Notamacropus eugenii: one gene and its partner. The protein of the gene in region 2 interacts with the protein of the main gene of each other region in a biochemical or structural test. Links are inferred from orthologs where the notes say so. Each region holds a gene or a part of one and is shown on either strand. Other genes may lie near its edges.

Region 1 (9,004 bases), on a different chromosome or scaffold from region 2:
AGTCCTCTTCCCTTTGAGGAGATAAAAAGAACTGATTCTTATAAGCACTCTTTATGGGTACTATATACAGCCTTTACTAACAATGTTTGATCTTCAAATTAGGAAATGTGGAGGTTTTCACTCCTCCCCATTTGTAAATGGGGAAGTTGAGGCACATTTCTTATCCAAGATCTCATAATAAGTGGCAGAGGTGGACCTGGCATCCAAGTCCTCAGGCTAGAAATCCCACACTCCTTCCATTACACCACAGCTAGAAGGAGTTTATCTTTGTTTCTTCTGTTGAAATCTTCAGGAAGTATCAAGTTCCTCTCCAATGGAGGTCTTGAAGCAAAGGTCATAAAACTACTTATCAGTTCTAGTGTGGGGAAGATTTTTGCCAGTGTGAATAGGTTGAACTGATAGCTGATGAGGCTCCTTCTAGCACTAAAGGTCTGAGTTTCTGTGATCCTAATCATTATTCAAAGACCAGGTCAAATGACACCTCTTCTAGAGAGTTTTTCTATTCTCCCTAGCCAGGAGTCATGTCACTTTCCTTCAAGTTTCCACAGCATTGAGGCTGAACCGCCCTTAAGAAACTTCCCATGTTCTACATGGAACCATCATCATCTCTAAGCATGTTTCATCCTGGCTACAGAAACTGTGTCATTTTCCTCATAACACAGTGCCTTAGTAGGTGTTCATTGAATTCAACTGAATAATTCCCTGTTAATTAGACCATGGGATCCAGAAAGTAGAAACTATCCCTCCTCTCTTAAGCCCTTTAACACCAAAGACAGGGTTGGGAACACAGTGAGCGTTCAATTTGTTGAATTGAAAAATTGCAAAGATTTTTCAAATCCCCATCAGGCAAACAAAAAAATAAACAAAAAAAAAATATTCTTTGAAACATTGAACCAACTCAACTGTATGAGAGGAAACTCAGTTCTGAGGTGAGATAGCCTGGAGCCAGAGATTTCCCCAGTTAGTCTCCCACTGCACAGCTCAGCAGTTGCCTCCCACACATCCCATTCAGAATACAAGTTTGTGTGGCATATGGCCAGCCCCCAGAGCTCGGGCCTCCACAGGCCTCTAGCATGGTTTGTCACCCCAAGAAACCCACAATGCACTGCTTAAACCTGCTCCCCTGCTCCTTTTCTCCCAGATGGAGCTAAGTCCAACCTCACTAGGGAACTGTCCAGCAAAAAGAAAAAAAAGAAAGAAAGAAAAAATAGCCATCTGCTTTTATCAGCAGAAACGATGAGTTCAAGGTAAGTCATTTGTTACCTGACTTTAACTCTACCAATCTTTTTCTATAGAACTATATCTATGGGACAATCCCCAGGTGCTTCCCAATTGTTTAAAGTCACTCCATACCTTGCTAACTCCTCATCTCCAACCAAGGACAGAAGTAATACTCCACTCAACTGAATCATGTGTTTCTAAGATCCATCATTTATGATATCCAGAGACCACTTGGGTCATTTTTCACCACTACTGGACAGCAGTCAATTGCAAATGTGCATGGCCACATTCAAGCCAGGAACCAAGGTAGAAAAATGAGGAAGGGGGATAATAACTGTCAAGTTGTAAAATCTTGACCACTAAGTGTATGGATATAGCCACACCTCCTTGCCTGTGGATGGTTTGAAAAGAATGGAAATCACTAGTACAGGGAAATTTCATGTTTCATTCCCTACCTTTCTCCTGCTTGTGTGGTTTCCAGATCAAAGGAGATGCCCAGTCTAAACAGAAGATGAGACTGAATCAAGTGGCACAATCTATCTTAACTGGAGCCCAATCTGTCTTTCATTTTTTGCCAGCCCCCAGATGCCAAAGAGGGATCAGAGAGAAAGGCAGAGAGAAAGGTCAGAGGCCAGGGAGAACAAGAGAGTGGAGGGAGACTGGATATGGATAGGGAGGAGAAAAAAAGGGGAAGAGGAAAGGAAGGGAGATGATGAAGAAAAAAAGGAAACGGAAGGTTAAAAAGGGAAGGAAAAGTTCGGAAGAGAAAGAAGGATGGAAAGTGGGAGGGGGAGAGAGAAGTAAGCAAAGAACGCAGGATTCATATTGACTTAACCTATGAGAAAGGACACTAGAATTGGGTATCCTCAGAGCAACAGGCTTCGCAGAAGTCTCGGACAATATTTCTTTCTCTGCACCCCTCCCTATTACTCCACCCCCACCCGTTAATTCTTTTTCTTAACTAGAATAAGGCTCACACCCCAGGCAAAGAAGCCAGCACAGTTTGGAGAGCAGTTGTAATAAAACCAACCCCCTCTGCCAAGAGAAATTCCCAACCACATCCAGCTCTCAGTGGGCCCTGAGCCACAAACACCCACGAACCCACAAGCGGTTGGCTCTGGGGGCCGTCCCCACCCAGAACATTGCTTTCCATAAAAGTAACATTTGGGAGCAGCATCTGGAGAGAAAAGGGGGTGTGCGTCTGTCTGTGTCTGTCTGTATGTGTGTGTGTGTGTGAGTGATGGACATCCTGCCACTCTCGTGTGAAAAAAAAATGAGTAGATTGAAAATAAATCAACTCTCTTCTCTGGTGGCCAGAACTCACGAACTTTGGAGTAGAGTGAAGCAGTTCCCGGGGTCCCCCTGCCAGGCAGGCGTCCCGGGCTCAGAGTCGGAGGCAGAGGAGCAGGCAGAGGGGGCAGGATTGAGGGCTGGCACCTGGGGCTGGTGCATCCGGACCAGTTGGGCATAACGGAAAGGAGAAGCCCGCGTCTAGAGCGATCGAAGCAGAGAAAGCTGGGGTGGGGGTGCCCCGGAATTCCTTTCCCAAACTGTAGGGAGGGGGAGCGTGCCTCAGCCTTCCGCGGCTCGGGAGAGAGCCGGGATGGAGGTGGCAGGGCGGACTGCGGGAGGAAAGGGCGCCTCCAGAGGGTCTCCAGCTGCAGGGCGCACAGCGCCTCGTACTCACCGCGCACCCCAACTTCACTCCGGTCCGCGGGTCAGGGCACTCCAAGCCCGGCCGGCGGGGCAGGGGGAGCCGGGGGGCGGGGGGCCGGAGGCCGGGAGCCGGGCTCTGCTGGGCTGGACCGTGATGGACTGCTCGCTGCTCGCGGTCCCGGCCCGGCGTGTGAGGCTGAGCAGAGCAGGAGGGAGGGGAAGAAAAGGAAAGGGAAGGGAGGGGAGGGGGCGCTCGGGGAGCCGGGCAGAGGGGGAGGGACCAAGAGCAAAAAAGTTTTTCAGGCTGCCGCCCGACTGGCTGGCCGAACCTGCTCCCCCACCCCCCGCGCTCCTTACGCCGCCCCCTCCCCCTGCTCTGGGGCCAGGCAGTCACCTCGCCCCTTGGGGCGTCCCCTCCCCCATCCGGCTCACCCGCCGGCTTGGCGGGGAGGTCTGGAGGCCCCCTCGAGACCTTTCGGTGCCAAGCCATCCCCCTCTCCCCGACGGGGGCAGCTGCACTGGTGCGCCCTCCCCACCCTCGAGACTTTCTTGGGTTCTGAGTTTGGAGAAGTGAGACAAAAAGGGACGCGCAGGGCAGGGAATCTGGGTACGAGACTGCCGTCACCTCCCTAGCCTTCACCTCCGGCTTGATCATCCCCCTTACCTCTCACTGGGGTCTCTCCAGGCGTAGAATCCTTTCCTCTGCCTTCCCCGCTTTCTCCCTAAGAGAGGAGGGAATCCCTTCTCTTGACCCGGTCACCCTGATCCCCCCTCCCCCACATCAGCAGGAAGAGAAAAGGAGAGGGCACAAAAGGAGGAATCTCCCAGCAGAGCGGACAGTCATTTGTGTCTGAGGGCCCTTCACTTCAAGAGCTAGCGGGCTTCTCCCCGGCCACTGCCGGTCATTCCCCGGAGCTGTCAGATTTGTGTAAAAATACTGCGCTCCATCCTGGTCTGAATTAAACAGGAACGCCAAGCCAAGAAGAACAAAAGTTTGACTGTGAACCACGAAGAGAAAATCACTTAGAGGCCAAAGAGGATGAGGCCACGGGTACCCGTGACTCACCTCCTCCCAAAGCTCTGTGAACTGGGTTGGAGTAGGCCAACTCAGCCCCTCCTAGCCCACCGGGGACCCTCCCCTACTTGTTTAACTAGGGTCTGGGAAGAGGTCAGGTACCTGGGCACCTAGGCACAAATTCTTCGTGATGCCAGCAGGCTTCTGGCTCAAAACTCTAATTCCTCTGGTGGTGAAAAACGAGCTGATGTGAAAAGGCTGGTGACTGGAGAACAAGAGAACCGAGCAAGCAGGAACCTGTGTCTTCAGGAGGGATGAGGAATGTATAAAACTCCTACCTCCCGAAACAATGTGCTCCCTGAGATGGGAGACTCCACAAGCCTAAGCCACATGGATGAGCTGTAAGAAAATGTACTTTAGCTAGGAGACCCTAGGATAGAGCACTGTGGATAGAGCACTGGCCTGGAGTCAGGAGGATCTCCTTTCAAATTCCACCTCAGAAACTTACTATCTGTGGGACACTGGGCAAATCACAAACTCTGCCTCAGTTTCCTCATCTGTAAAATGAGCTAGAGAAAGAAATGGCAAATCACTCTAAGATCTTTGCCAAGAAAACCCCAAATGGGGGAGGGGTCACATGAATCAGACACAGCTGAAAAAAACCACTCATCAACAAAAGGAGGAGACCCTTAAAAGTTAGAACACGGCTTCTCTCTCACTATCTGGGGTTGTTCCCCTCTCCTCTCTTTCCTAACTCTTGAGGCCCACCTTGTCCTTCAAAACAAACAGCATTGAAAAAGGAGCCCAATTACCTCCCAGCTAAGGTAAACATTTCTTAACAGAAAGCTGACCCTAGGGTGGTATGATGTGGGAAAGGGGAAAATTGTGTCCTCTGAATGATGGCACCCCACAGAGGCCTGGGATTTCATTCACAGAAAATCAGCTTTAGACCCCTTTCCACACCAGGATTTCCTTTCTATAACTCCTTTCCTAGTCTGTGGTTAGGGGGAGAAGGTGGTGGTGATGAGGATGACAAACAGATGTCACATTTTAAAGGAACCAAATAAAGAAAGGAGAGGAAGAAGAGCCATAAAGCTTCAGGAATCAGATTCCTTGGGATACAAAGCCTTCTAGTTTCCTGAGGACTTCAACCTTTAGGGAGTAGGGGGACTTAGAAAACAAGCCTCACTTTGCATGGTGTGATGTCTCATTACTCATGATGGAGAGCACACTGAACTCAGAGGCTGGAAAATCTAATTTTGAATACGGCCTCTGACATTTAGGATCATATATTGAGAAATAGATAACCTTAGACATCATTTAGTCATTTTAAAGATGAGGAAACTGAGGCATTAATGAGGGTTAAGGTCAGGATCCCACAGCTAGTAAGTATCTGAGGCTAGATTTGAACTTAGACAGGCGCTCTATCCACCTAGCTGCTCACTTAGTGCCAATAAATGATTGTTGATTGAGTTATACTAACGAATAATGAATGAATGACTGGGTAAAGACCTCTTTTCCAGCTCTAAATCTATGAACCTAGGGGTTAAAGGACCTGTTTCCTAGTCCTTTTTGCTCCGAAGTACTTGTGCTAAGCCAGAAGGAAGTGAAGGCCACATCTAAGAAGTGATGGGCTTTGACTTGTATAGACTGGGCCAGGGTCCAGTTAGTAGAGAACAAAACAACAGTTCCAATGGACCACTTTAATTAATTAATTAATTAAATTTATTTTCAGTCTTCCACAATCACTACCATATAACTTAGATTTTTTTTTCCCTTTCTCCCCTCTACCTCTCTGAGATGGTATATAGGTTCTACACATACATTCTTATTAAATAAATTTTCAACATAGTCATGTTGTATAGAAGAATTAAAATGAATGGGAGAAATCATATAACAAATCAAAACGTAATAGAAAAGAAAATCATCTGCTATATTCTGTGATTGAATTCCATAGTTCTTTCTCTGGATGCGGAAGACATTTTGCCTTAAAAGGTCATTGGGAATTTTTTAAGTACTTGCATTGCAATGAAGTTCTAAGTCTACCAGAAAAAAATCCTCAAACACTATGGTTGTTGCTGTGTACAAAGTTCTCCTGGCTCTGCTCCTTTCACTCAGCATCAGATCATATAAGTCTTTCCAGGCCTCTCTGAAGTCTTCCTGTTCATCATTTCTTATAGCACAATAGTATTCCATTACATTCATATACCACAACTTGTTCAGCCATTCCCCAATTGATGGGCATCCCCTTGATTTTCAGTTTTTGGCCACCATAAAGAGGGATGCTAGAAAAATTTTTGTACATGTGGGACCCTTTCCCATTTTTGTGATCTCTTGGGGATATAGTCCTAGAAGCAATACTACTGGGTCCAAAGATATGCATATTTTTGTAGCCCTTTGGGCATAGTTCCAAATTGCTCTTCAGAATGGTTGGATCAACTCACAGCTTCACCAACAATGAATTAGTGTTCCAACTCTCCCACATCTTCTCCAACATTTATCATCTTCCTGTTTTGTCCAATGGACCACTTTTAGAAATGTTCCTGGACTGCAGCTCCTGCTGGGATCAGAAAGGAGGAAATAGTTCCTCTGGGCCCTTAGCACTGAGAGTCGCAGGCAGATTTCATCTGTACCGTCATGGCTGATAGCTAGAAAATTAGGAAGCAACAGATGCTTTAGAATCACTGAATTTGCAACAGAAAGAAAGCTTACAGTCTGCCTAGTCCAACACTTTCCACTTTCATTTTATAGATAAAAAAAATGACCCAGGAACACAAGATGACTTGCCAAAAGTCACATAACTAACTATTCAACACAAAGCCAAGAGTAGATTCCAGCTTTCTCTTGATTCCTGGTCCATGATACTTCACTACCTCTAGTCTCCAGGCCTAGTGGCTTTGCTTAAAAAGTGGGGGCAGTAGTGCTCAGGTCTCTTCTTGAGGACTTAGCACTCTAGCAAGCAGAAGTTTTGCAAAATATAGCACCTAGAAAGAAACTAAAGGGGAAAAATAATGAGAAAACTGTGAAACAAAGAGAAATAACTTGCTGAAAATTGCCCAACTCAAAAGTGTCAAAGTTGACAATCCAACAGAGAATATTAGACTTGGAGCCTGAGGACTAGATTCATATCCCAGCCCCATTACTTACTACCTGTATGACTTCAGATAAGTCACTTTACCACTCTGTTTCCCCATCAGTAAAATAAAGGAGTTGCACCAGGTCTCTTTCAGTTATTTTCTAGGATCCTATGACTATCTGACTCCTGTGTCAATGTTATTTCCATCGTAATGATTCCCCCTGCCAGAGCTTGGACCTGGGAGGAAGGAATGTCTAACTCCATTCAAAAGATGTTAGAAAGACTTGGGGTAAGGAGAGGCATTTTTTCTTAAGGATGGAACTAGGTGTCTCCCATAGTTCATGCATCAGGTCATGTTTCAAAAGCAAAGACCAATCCTGTGTCTCTTTGTAGAAAGAGCCTAGACGTGGATGATTGTCTGTCCAATGGGCTTTATGTGCTGGAGGTAACCCTGAGGGATGGGAAAGAGGACTATTTGGAGAATTAGGAGACCTGACGTCTTAGCCTGGCTCTATTGCTTACTCCTTGGATATCTTAGGGCAAGTCAATTAATCTATCTCAGTCCACTCTCCTCATCTTTGAAATCTGGACATGGATAAGAGGATCCCAAAGTCTTCCTACATACATCTCTAAGAACCTGTGATTCTCTTCTCTGCAGAAATGTGGGGGAAGTCCAGAATGATGGACTGTCAATGTCTAAGGGGGCATCTAGTCCAGCCCATATCATACTCAACAAGGGATTAGCCTCTAATTGAAACCCTTCAACATAGGAGTAGCCACTACTTTTGAAGACAGCACATTCTATTTTGGGAAAGCTCTAATGCTTAGGGAGTTATTTTTCTCCCTAAATTTGCCTCTTTGTAGCTTCTATCTCTTTTTGGATTTTCCCTTTGACTTCCCCCCTTCTGTGATTACATAGCTAGTGAGTACCAGAGGCAGCATTTAAATCCAGATGTTACTGACACAAAGTTCCACATTCTTTTTGTAGGGAATACGAAGGAATCCGAGTGGAAAATTCAGGTATAGATTGAACTAAATGACTTCCAAGGTCGTTTCTAACCCTAAGACTGATTTCATTGGAAGAAAATAATCATTTGGCAAGGATTAAGCCCTGCTCTGTGGTCTCCTGGGCTATACCTGCAAGAGGATATCTTGATCTCCCCAGTCTCATGTTGAATCATGGTGATGAATGGTGTCCCCTCCTCCCTTCTAAACTGTAAAGATTCCCCTTCCTAAGCCTTTGGATTTATCAGAAATGAGAAGGCAGGGAGAACTCTTCCCCCTGTATATTGATAACACTGAAAATAAAGCTTTAAGAGATGGAAACCAGTCAGATGATAATCTTCTAATTTATAACAGACCAAAATGATGGAAAATAGCAAAGTGAGCCAATAAGCATATTTAGTCCAAGGCAAAAAGCTTCCCAGGCACCTAAAGCAGAGATGGGGAAGATGGATGACTCAGGTAAATTCCTCAATGGTGCTGATTTATCCATTCTTAACTCAACCTGAATTTCTCAGGGTTAAAAAAAAAAACATCTTCACTAGTAGTTGTTTGCCCACTTTACTGAGTCTATAATCCCATATTTTATAAAATGTTTGAGCTAGAAGGGACCTTAAAAACCTTCTTGTCCGGGGATTTTTAACCTTTGTGTGTGTGCATGTGCATGTGTATGTGTGTCTGTGTCTGTGTGTATGTGTGAGTGTGTGTATGTGTGTGTGTGTGTGTGTGTGTCATGGTTTTCTCTGGCAGTCTGGTGAAGCATTGGAACCCCTTCTGCAAATAATCTTTTTAAGTGCATAAAATAGCATATGTAGGATCACAAAGGAAATCCATTATATTGAAAATATAGTTATCAAGATGTTTTTAAAAAATAAACTTACAGGGCAGAGCCAAGATGGTAGAGTAGAAAGACACACATACACAGGGTCTCCCCACACAGCCCATAAAATACCTGTAGAGAGGGACTCTCAACAAATTTTGGAGCAGCAGAAGTGGAGAGCAACAGAGTGGAGGAGATTACCAGCCCAGGGTGA
Region 2 (8,559 bases):
ATTACTGAAGAAGGCAGTCTAAGCATTTTTACATTCCCATTTTACAGTCTCAGAGAAGTGACATGAGTCATCCAACTAGTAAGAGTAGGTCTGGTTCAAACCAAGCTCTCCAGCCTGGGTGGGGGGGAGGTCTACACCCCAGGGAGCCAGGTTGGGGGGAGGGCGGACATGGCCAGTCTAGTGAGATCTAGCAGGATAAGGGGTCTGCCACGAGGCTGCTGGGAGAAGGGGTAGTTACAGAGTGACTAAGGCCCAGCTGAGGTGAGACTACCAATGGTGGGAAGGGGATGAAGTCACTAGGAGATAGAGTCAGTCACTAGGTAAACATTTGCTGGGTTAGAAAAATCTTGCTTGTGGCCAGGAGAGCTCCAGAGCTGGATGAGAGAGTATAAAGGCGGGATGCATGGCTCAGTGTAACAGGCCTGGCCCATCTCCCCAGATTCCACCCACCCAACCTCGGGCCACCAACTCCCTGCCCACTGACCCCGCCCCAGCCTCCCCTCTTCCCGGGGAGTTCTTTCCAGTTCTCTAGGCCTCTCACCACCAACTACTTTCCAGGCTTTGGGATTAGAGACACTCCCTTCTTTTTTCCTATCAATGGGACCAAGGGCTCCTGTGTCCAGAGAATCAGTAGCTGGAGTTAGGGCTCTGGAGCTGGGGAATGTGCCAGCAGCTCCTCAGGGCACTATCCTGGCAGAGGAGGAAAAATTTAAGAGTCTAGGTCTATTAAAAGCAGCAGATTTTGCAGTCAGAGGGTCTGTGCTTGAAGCCTAATTTTGCCACTTACTATCTGTGTGACCTTGGGCAAGTTATTCCCTCATTCTAGGTAAGCCTCAGTTTCCTCATCTGTAAAATGAAAGAGATTAGAGTAGATGGATCTCTAAGGTTCCTTTGGCTTTAAATTCTATGATCTTCCACCAAGGTTCTGAAATGGGCCCACCCAGACTACAGGCTTTTCTATACTAAGCACTTGGTTAAGAGAAACTGTAACTAAAAAAATCTATCCATCAAGGCAGGCGCCAACATGATGAGGGACCTCTCCATACACACTCAGCTAGGCTGGTCCTCCACTGACAGCCACACTACCAGTCTGGGCCTTTCCATGATCATCAACCCTGGCAGAACTTATGCTCTCCTTAGAGCCTGTAGAACCTTCTAGAACACAGGTTCACCTCCTCACTGGGTTGAGGAATCAGAGGAAGAAATTTCAGTGGAGTTGGTCCAAGGGGAGGGATGTCCAGCCTGAACCTGCTACCTCTTCTGGTCCAGAGGTGTCAGAACGAGTGCATTAAAATGGAACTGGGATATGTTTGACAAAATAAATAAAACCACGAAACAGATAAAGTGAAACTGTGGCTTTCTGAGTCAGTCTGCAGCCTGCAGGGATCTCTATTTGATTTTGATACCACTGGTCTGAGGCTGCCCCATCATTTTGGTTCATTTTACAGATGAGGAGGCGTGAGCCCTAGAGAGCTAAAGTGGCTTTAGGGTCTCCTCCTCCAAATCCAGTACAATTAGTATCACCAAGATAGGCACAAGGCAGCAAGGCGTAATGGTTAGAGCACCCGAGCCAGGAAGATAGATTGCCTCCTGCCTCAGATCCCAGCTGTGTGAACCTGGGCAAGCCACATCTTGGTTTTCACATCTGTAAAATGAGGGAGGATGGGCTTAAAAAGTATCTAAGGTACCTTCCAGCACTAGGGCTATAATCTTATGAATGCGCAGACGATCTACCTTAAAGGAATGTTTTGAGGAAATTTCCTAGGCAACGTCCAAGCAGGACACAAACATACGTTAAAGTTATTTAGCTATCTGTTGAGATTTCAGGAGATTTTTTTTTTTCCTATCTCTTTCAAGTCCCATGACAGTGATTTCCCTCTCTGACTTCAACCTTTCTGGGCCTGAATTTGCCCATCGGTAAAATAAGAGGCTGAGGCAGTTTGAGGTCGTTAAGTGTAGTTTCAAGTCTAACTACCTGGGATCAGTCCCCTAGTGAATGATCTTGTCCAGGGTTAGTTAGTTTCTTGTTCTGAGGTGTAAGGTCCTTAAGGGCATGGTCAGATTGGATGAGTCAAATATATACTTATTAATGGAAAAGCAGCTGTTCTCTGGGGCCCTTCACAGCAGAGTGCCTGCCCAGGGCCCTCCCTAGGGCCCTGGCTCACCAAAGTCAGGAGCCAGGAATGGAAGAGCTTACTGTGGGCAAGTCCCCACCCCACACCCTGTCCCAGGCCTCTTTAACAGAGGCATCATAGAATGTAAAGGGACCACATGAGGGAAAGGACCACAGGGATCTAATCCAACACCTTCAGTGTATACCACTGAGGAAAGGGCCACAAAAGCCAGTTTGAGCTAGTCTTGTTTCCAAATATGTAGCCTTAAGGCTCCCACAGACCTCATTCCCCGAAAAAAGAATCCCTAGGGTCATCCTGGCTCAGTCTATAGAGCAAAAGAAGCTAGGAGAATATGGGTGGTCCCCAGCCATTTTCCCAATACCTTGGAAATCATTGAGTAAACTGAGGCAGAGGTGAAGTGATGGGCCCAGGGGGAGAGATCTTCTCCTTGCACTCCCCCATAAATGCCCCCACCTGTCTATTCTCTTCGTCGGAGGCAAATGCTTAGCCCCTCCACGTCATACACGAGGTCCCATAGAGGGTCCGGCCTCCCACCCGGGACGCTGACCCCAACTACTCTCCCCACTACAGGTGACGATCCCGCCCACTCTCCCCGCGTGGGGACTGACCCCGCCCATTCTCTCTCGATTCTCTCCCCTCTCCACTCCCCTGAGGCTGGCCCCGTGCGTGGCACAGGCAGGTCACCCAAGGGTAGCCAGATTCCTACTGTCTCCAAGGGCGGCATGGACTGGGGAGCTTGGGCCTCTCATTTCCTAACTGGACTTCTCCACTGGACAGCCCTTCCCCTTTAGGGTCTGGTTTCCTGGGGCCAGAGGGGGTGGTGGTGCACCCAGCCTTGCCCTGTGCCCGAGGGACCCCAGCCTATGGGGTTGATCTACCGAAAAGCCAACTTTTCTCTGGGCGCTCAAAGTTTCTCGAGTTCTTGGAGGACTCGGGCTCCGGCCTCTCCCTCTCTCCTCAGCCCCCGTGCCCTCTCCGAACCCAGCCCTCTGTGGCCCAGGAGGTCCAGGGGCATCGCGGGGCCCTCGAGGACATATGCCCCGGGGGGAAGGCGCAGGGCAAAGGTGCCGAGGCAGGCGCGCGGCCGACCGGCCGACTTGAGCCCCCATCCCCGATCCCCAGCCCGTCCCTCCCAGTCCCCCGGGCAGCCCCAGCCCGCTGGCCGCGGAGCCAACTTGCCCTCCGGGCACGCAAAGTTACCAAAGTGGCCGGAGAAGCCGAGGGGTGAGGACAGGAGAAAGGAATGGAGGGTGGGGAGGGATGGCAGGGGCGGACTCACGCTGAGGAGAGGACCCAGCAGCAGCAGCAGCGGCGGCAGCAGCCGCCCCGTCCGCACCGCCCGCGGCCCCATGTCTGCGGCCCGCTCGCTCGGCTCGGCTGGGCTAGGGCTCGGCGCGGCGCCCCGGCTCTCTGCCCCCCACTCCCAGCCCCCGCCTCCCAGGGCCGGCCCCGCCTCCGGCCCGGCCCCGCCTCCGGCCCGGCCCAGGAGGCTGGAGCCCGGGCCGCGCAGCCACCTTGGCCCTTTGTCTGGGCCCCCGATCCCCCCCCGCCTCCCCAGCGGGGCAGCGGCCCAGGGCCGGCTCCCCGCCAAACCCGGCCTGGAGTCCGGGATGGGACCAGGGGCGGGGTGCGGGGGCGCGGGGAGACCTGGAGAGGCCCGGGAGGACTGACGGAGCTAACTGTGGAGGGGAGGGCCGTGGTCCCGGATCGGCTCGCGCAAACCTGCCCCGAAGGCGAGGAGCAGAGCGGGGTGCAGGGAGAGGGTGAAAACCAGACCCAGCCCGCAGCGAGGGCTGGAGGAAAGCGCTTTCGATGGGGTTCTTGCTGTGAGACCTTGGACAAGTCGCGTAACTTCTCGGGGCCTTAGCTCCCTCTACGAAAAACGAGGGATTGGACTTGAAATGCTCCAAGATCCTCGTCCCCCCATCCCGCTGGCGAAAATACTTCCTGAACCCTTGAACAAATTGGCACCTCACACAGTAACTTAGAAACACGAATCAAGGCTAGTCTACACGTTGGGACTCCTGATCCTCTCCAAAGAACGCTTGGGCTTTGGAGTCACAGGACCTGGATTCAGATCCTGCCTGTTAGTATAGCTTACTATCTGGACAACCTAAATTCTCTTAAACTCTTTATGCCTCAGTTTCCTCTTCTGTAAAATGAAGAGTTTAAACCAGATGGCCTCTGAGGCCCTTTCCAGGTCTAAATCTATGGTCCTAAGGACTCATATTGAGGTGCAAAACTGTCTAAGGCAGGAGTTCCTATCCCTTTCCTGGTGACCTCACAGAGAGAAAGAAGAAAGAGCTCCTCAGCTCACCCAGTCATTCACACAAATCAGAGCCCTGTTGAATTCTCCCTAAAGTTGAATGCAAAATGTCGCCTCCTCCAGGAAGCCTTCCCTGACCCTCCCATTACTTCAACCTCTTCCTTTTCCATAAAGTGAGATTGGACTATGTGATCTCCGGGCCTGTTGGTTCTAATTCTATGATCCCAGACACACACACCAATCATACAAATCACACACAGAGACAGAACACAATTGGTCCACAGTTCCTGTGAATTTCCCAAGAAATTCTTAGATGTATGACTTCAAACAGGCACAGCTCTTCTTTCCAGTTTGGACTCACTCTGAAATTCCCCTTTCCGCCTGAAATTTTCCAGGGCACCAGGCTCAGTGGCAGAAAGAAAACATTTTTTTGGGTGGGGGTTTGCTTTTTTTTTTTTTTTAAACCTTGAGAGAAACCTTTTGAGTAATGAAATGGTGGGGTGGAGGGAGAGAAAAATGAAGTTTTCCATTGTTTCAACAGAGAGTTGCTAGGTTTCCTTAGGCTCCAGGCTGGCTCTCCAGCCAGACGGGCGGGCAGTGACCCAGGGGAAGTGCCCATCTGGGTGTGACATGGTCTAAGGCATTCCAAGCCTGTGAGCCCAATGAGTCCAGGACTGGGATGCCTCCTCTCCTATCTCCCAGCCTCCTAAGAAGGCCCACATGAGACACGTTGTGGCCACCAATGACTTTCCTTGATTTTGGTTCACCTCATTCTCAAAGTAGTAACCAGTGCCCCACATCCCCCCTCCCCCAACCTCAAACTAAATTCTTTGATAGACTTCTGAAGCAATCAAATTCATTTCCCATTTCGCAGGTAAGAAAGTTGAGGCCAACCAAAATTAAGTAACATACCCCAAACCACACAGATAATAAGAATTAAAGCTAAGATTGGAAGCTATGTTCCCTGACTCCCAAGTCAATACTCCTACTATATATTCCACTCTACCTCCTTGCCCTTGAGGGGACATTTCAGCTTTTACAGTTGACACCGAAGACTCCCCCTATCTCCACCCTAGCTCCAGGGTAGCCTTAAAGGACCAGATTCCATAGCAATTGGAAGGGTTCTCACTTCCCACCCCAGGGCCAGTGAGAAGGGACATTTAGGGCAAAGTCAGGGTCAGGGAGAAAGCTTGGACATCTCAGTGCCTGCCAGGAAAGAATAACCTACCTCACTCTGAATGACAGCGCAATAGACCAGTTTCTGCACCCTGCCCAAGCCAGCCCTCTGCTCTTATCAGTTATGTTCATATGGCCACTCAAGTCCCTCAGATATTGATATTTAAAAAGCATCATTTCAGTGGGGTCCTTGGCTGGACCCTGTGGGAAAAGTCAGAGGAAAAGTCCAGATTCCTACTCTTAAAGTTCCCAGTCATCTGGAGAAGACACAATTCTTGCCTTTGGGGAACCTCCAATCAGAGGAAGAGGCCAGACCCTGCCCATTAGGAGCCCCAAGCCTGAGAAGGAAGATAAGCCCTGCCTACACCCATTCTGGGCATAGGGGTGAGGGACAACAGCTCTGTCCTTGCTTGGAGAGTCACCGGGCTGAGGGAGATGCCAATGCCACAGCCCCTGTCTTCAGGGAGACTGCCATCTGTGGGCCCAGACTCAAAAAACAGAATCTAATAGATGTAGCCATGGAAAGAACCTTTAGAGATCTTTCAGTTCAACACCCTCATTTTATAAATGAGGAAACTAAAGCTCAACAGACAGAAAAAAAGAGTAGGTTCTCCATCGTGAGCAGGATATTCAGCCCCAGGGCTGGGGAAGAGACACAGATACAAGTAGACTCAAGTTGATACAGATAACCCAGAAATATTGACCTAATGCTCTCTAGAGCTATGGAGATAACAAGCTCCCAGCTTCCTGGACCACTGGGAGGGAGGAAGAGGGGAAGAGGAGAGAAGAGAAAGAAGATATCCAAGCAGGGTAAGAGATAACAGGAAGCTGAAATGAGACCTGGGAGAGTTGGTCATCCTTTTCGATTGGCTGCTGGGGTGCTCTTTATGGGGCTTTTACAGAGTTTTGGAGGCTCCCAGGAAGGACCTCCCCCAAATATTCCATGCCTACCTCTTTCCAGAGTGCCCCTAGAATTCCTCCATTAGTGATTCTAACATGATACAGTAGAAATAGCTCCAGTGAATGTTTTTGACATTACTGGTCAAACCCTTTTTTTATACCATTGGGGTGTACCTTTGTAGGTGACAAAGTAAATAGAGTCGAAAAGACCTGAGTTCAGATTTGGCCTCAGATGCTTACTAGATGTGTGACCTTGGGCAAATCACTTGATGGCGGTCTGCCTCAGTTTCCGCATCTGTAAAATGGAGCTAATAATAGCACCTACCTCTAAGAGTTGTTGTGAGGATCAAATGAGGTTATATTTGTCAGTGCCCCTGGTAAATGCTAACTCTTATTTTTGTCAGGGTCCTAGGACCCCAATGACAGGTTTTAGATATACTCCCCTGGACCTGGGCTAGATAAGATCCTAACTATCACTTCAGTCCCCAGACTCCCCTCTTCAACTATCTAACCATCTGACCTCCCAGTAAAGATTACAGTTCCTTGATGTAAACAGATACACATTTTGCTCAATGATTTTTCAGCATCTACCTACGTGGACTTTTTGTTTCTACCTATATGTTTTCTTCCCTTCAGAAAGATTTCATTTTACTGGTATGTTTATTATTAAGAATTTTTAAATTTAAAAAATTCATCCTAAAGAATTATTTGTAATTTCCTAATCATCAAATCCAATACCCTTCTTTTTGATTTTTTTTCTTAATTGTCATTTTTTTAAAGCAAATGTTTAAATATTTTCTTTCTTTTAAAGAAATACTGACTGAGCGCTAAAGCTAGCCTGAGGCCCATGAATGGTCATGGATCTAAGGGCGTATATGTAGGGAGGGCAGAATTCCTGGGTAATAATAGGAGAAAGGGAGATAGACAACAGGATTCTAGAAGAATATTAAGCCACGAGTTAGGAGACGTAGGATGGGATGTTGGCTCTATGACTTTGGATATGTCTTTAAAACGAGAGATGATGAGCCAAGTCCTACTAAAGAGCTGAAAGAATTTGTGTAAACTTTTTTTTTTTAGTGAATTGGCCTCATTGTTGTCAGCAAGTCCCAAAAGGGAAAAACAGAACTGGTGACTGGGTCAAGATCCAAGATGCTGTAATTGACCTTGAAGGCGGTGGAGCAAGTTTTTTGGAATGTCCCACTTCACAAGCCTTGGAGTTCCCCTCATTGTCCAGTTGTTCCTGAGAAGTTCCTGCCTTGATGGGAGAGATGAGGCCCCATGTCAGGCAGTACACCAAACATGGTTGTACCAGCCAGAGCACAACACGTAACTTGCCTATCGCTGCTCCTGCCCAATGAAGGCTGGCCTGGGATTGACTCCAACATTCAGCCTGTGCACAGTTTGGGACGTTGCCACCAACTTCCAATTTTATAGTCCCCATATAAGGCCTGAGGGATAGTCTCTAGTTCTGAAACCAATTTCCTTTGCAATCTAGGGCAATTCCTCTTCTCCTCCTTAGGGCCTCAGTTTATTTATTTTTTCTTTACCTGCCTCATTTTCCTCAACTGTAAAATGGGGATAATAATAGCACTTACCTTCTGGGGTTGTTGTAAGGATCAAATGAAATAAAATTTTTAAAGTACCTATCATGATGCTTGGCACATAGTAGGTCCTTAACAGATGCTTGAGGCAGCTAAATGTTGCCATGGATAGAGCACAGGGCCTGGAGTTAGGGAGATTCATCTCCTTGAGTTCAATCTGGTCTCAGAAACTTACTAGCTGGGTTAACCTGGGCAAGTCACTTCACCCTGTTAGCCTCAGTTTCCTCATCTGTAGAATGGACTGGAGAGGGAAATGACAAACCACTCTAGTATCTCTGCCAAGAAAACCCCAAATGGGGTCAGGGAGAATCGAACACAACGAGGCTAATGGACAGCAACACCAGGAACACCAACGATTCTTAATACGTACAAACTATTTGTAAAACAAAAGAATAAAAAGTTATTTTTAAAATTCTCATCTGCATCATCCTGTCTCTTCTCACTCACTTGTTTCACCTTCATCCCTTTCTCAATCCAATTT

The links.
Region 1: the proteins of HSPG2 (region 2) and FBLN2 form a complex in vitro, tested with the Homo sapiens proteins (2 studies listed by BioGRID). The link is inferred for Notamacropus eugenii from reciprocal best matches to the Homo sapiens genes HSPG2 and FBLN2.

Annotation. Positions count from the first base shown.
Region 1 is NC_092874.1:423,729,456-423,738,459, forward strand, and holds the start of FBLN2 (fibulin-2), read right to left. Parts: upstream 3,787-9,004; 5' UTR 3,542-3,786; intron 3,074-3,541; 5' UTR 2,909-3,073; intron 1-2,908. UniProt on the Homo sapiens protein: Its binding to fibronectin and some other ligands is calcium dependent. May act as an adapter that mediates the interaction between FBN1 and ELN.
Region 2 is NC_092876.1:62,012,682-62,021,240, forward strand, and holds the start of HSPG2 (basement membrane-specific heparan sulfate proteoglycan core protein), read right to left. Parts: upstream 3,549-8,559; 5' UTR 3,487-3,548; coding exon 3,415-3,486; intron 1-3,414. UniProt on the Homo sapiens protein: Integral component of basement membranes. Component of the glomerular basement membrane (GBM), responsible for the fixed negative electrostatic membrane charge, and which provides a barrier which is both size- and charge-selective.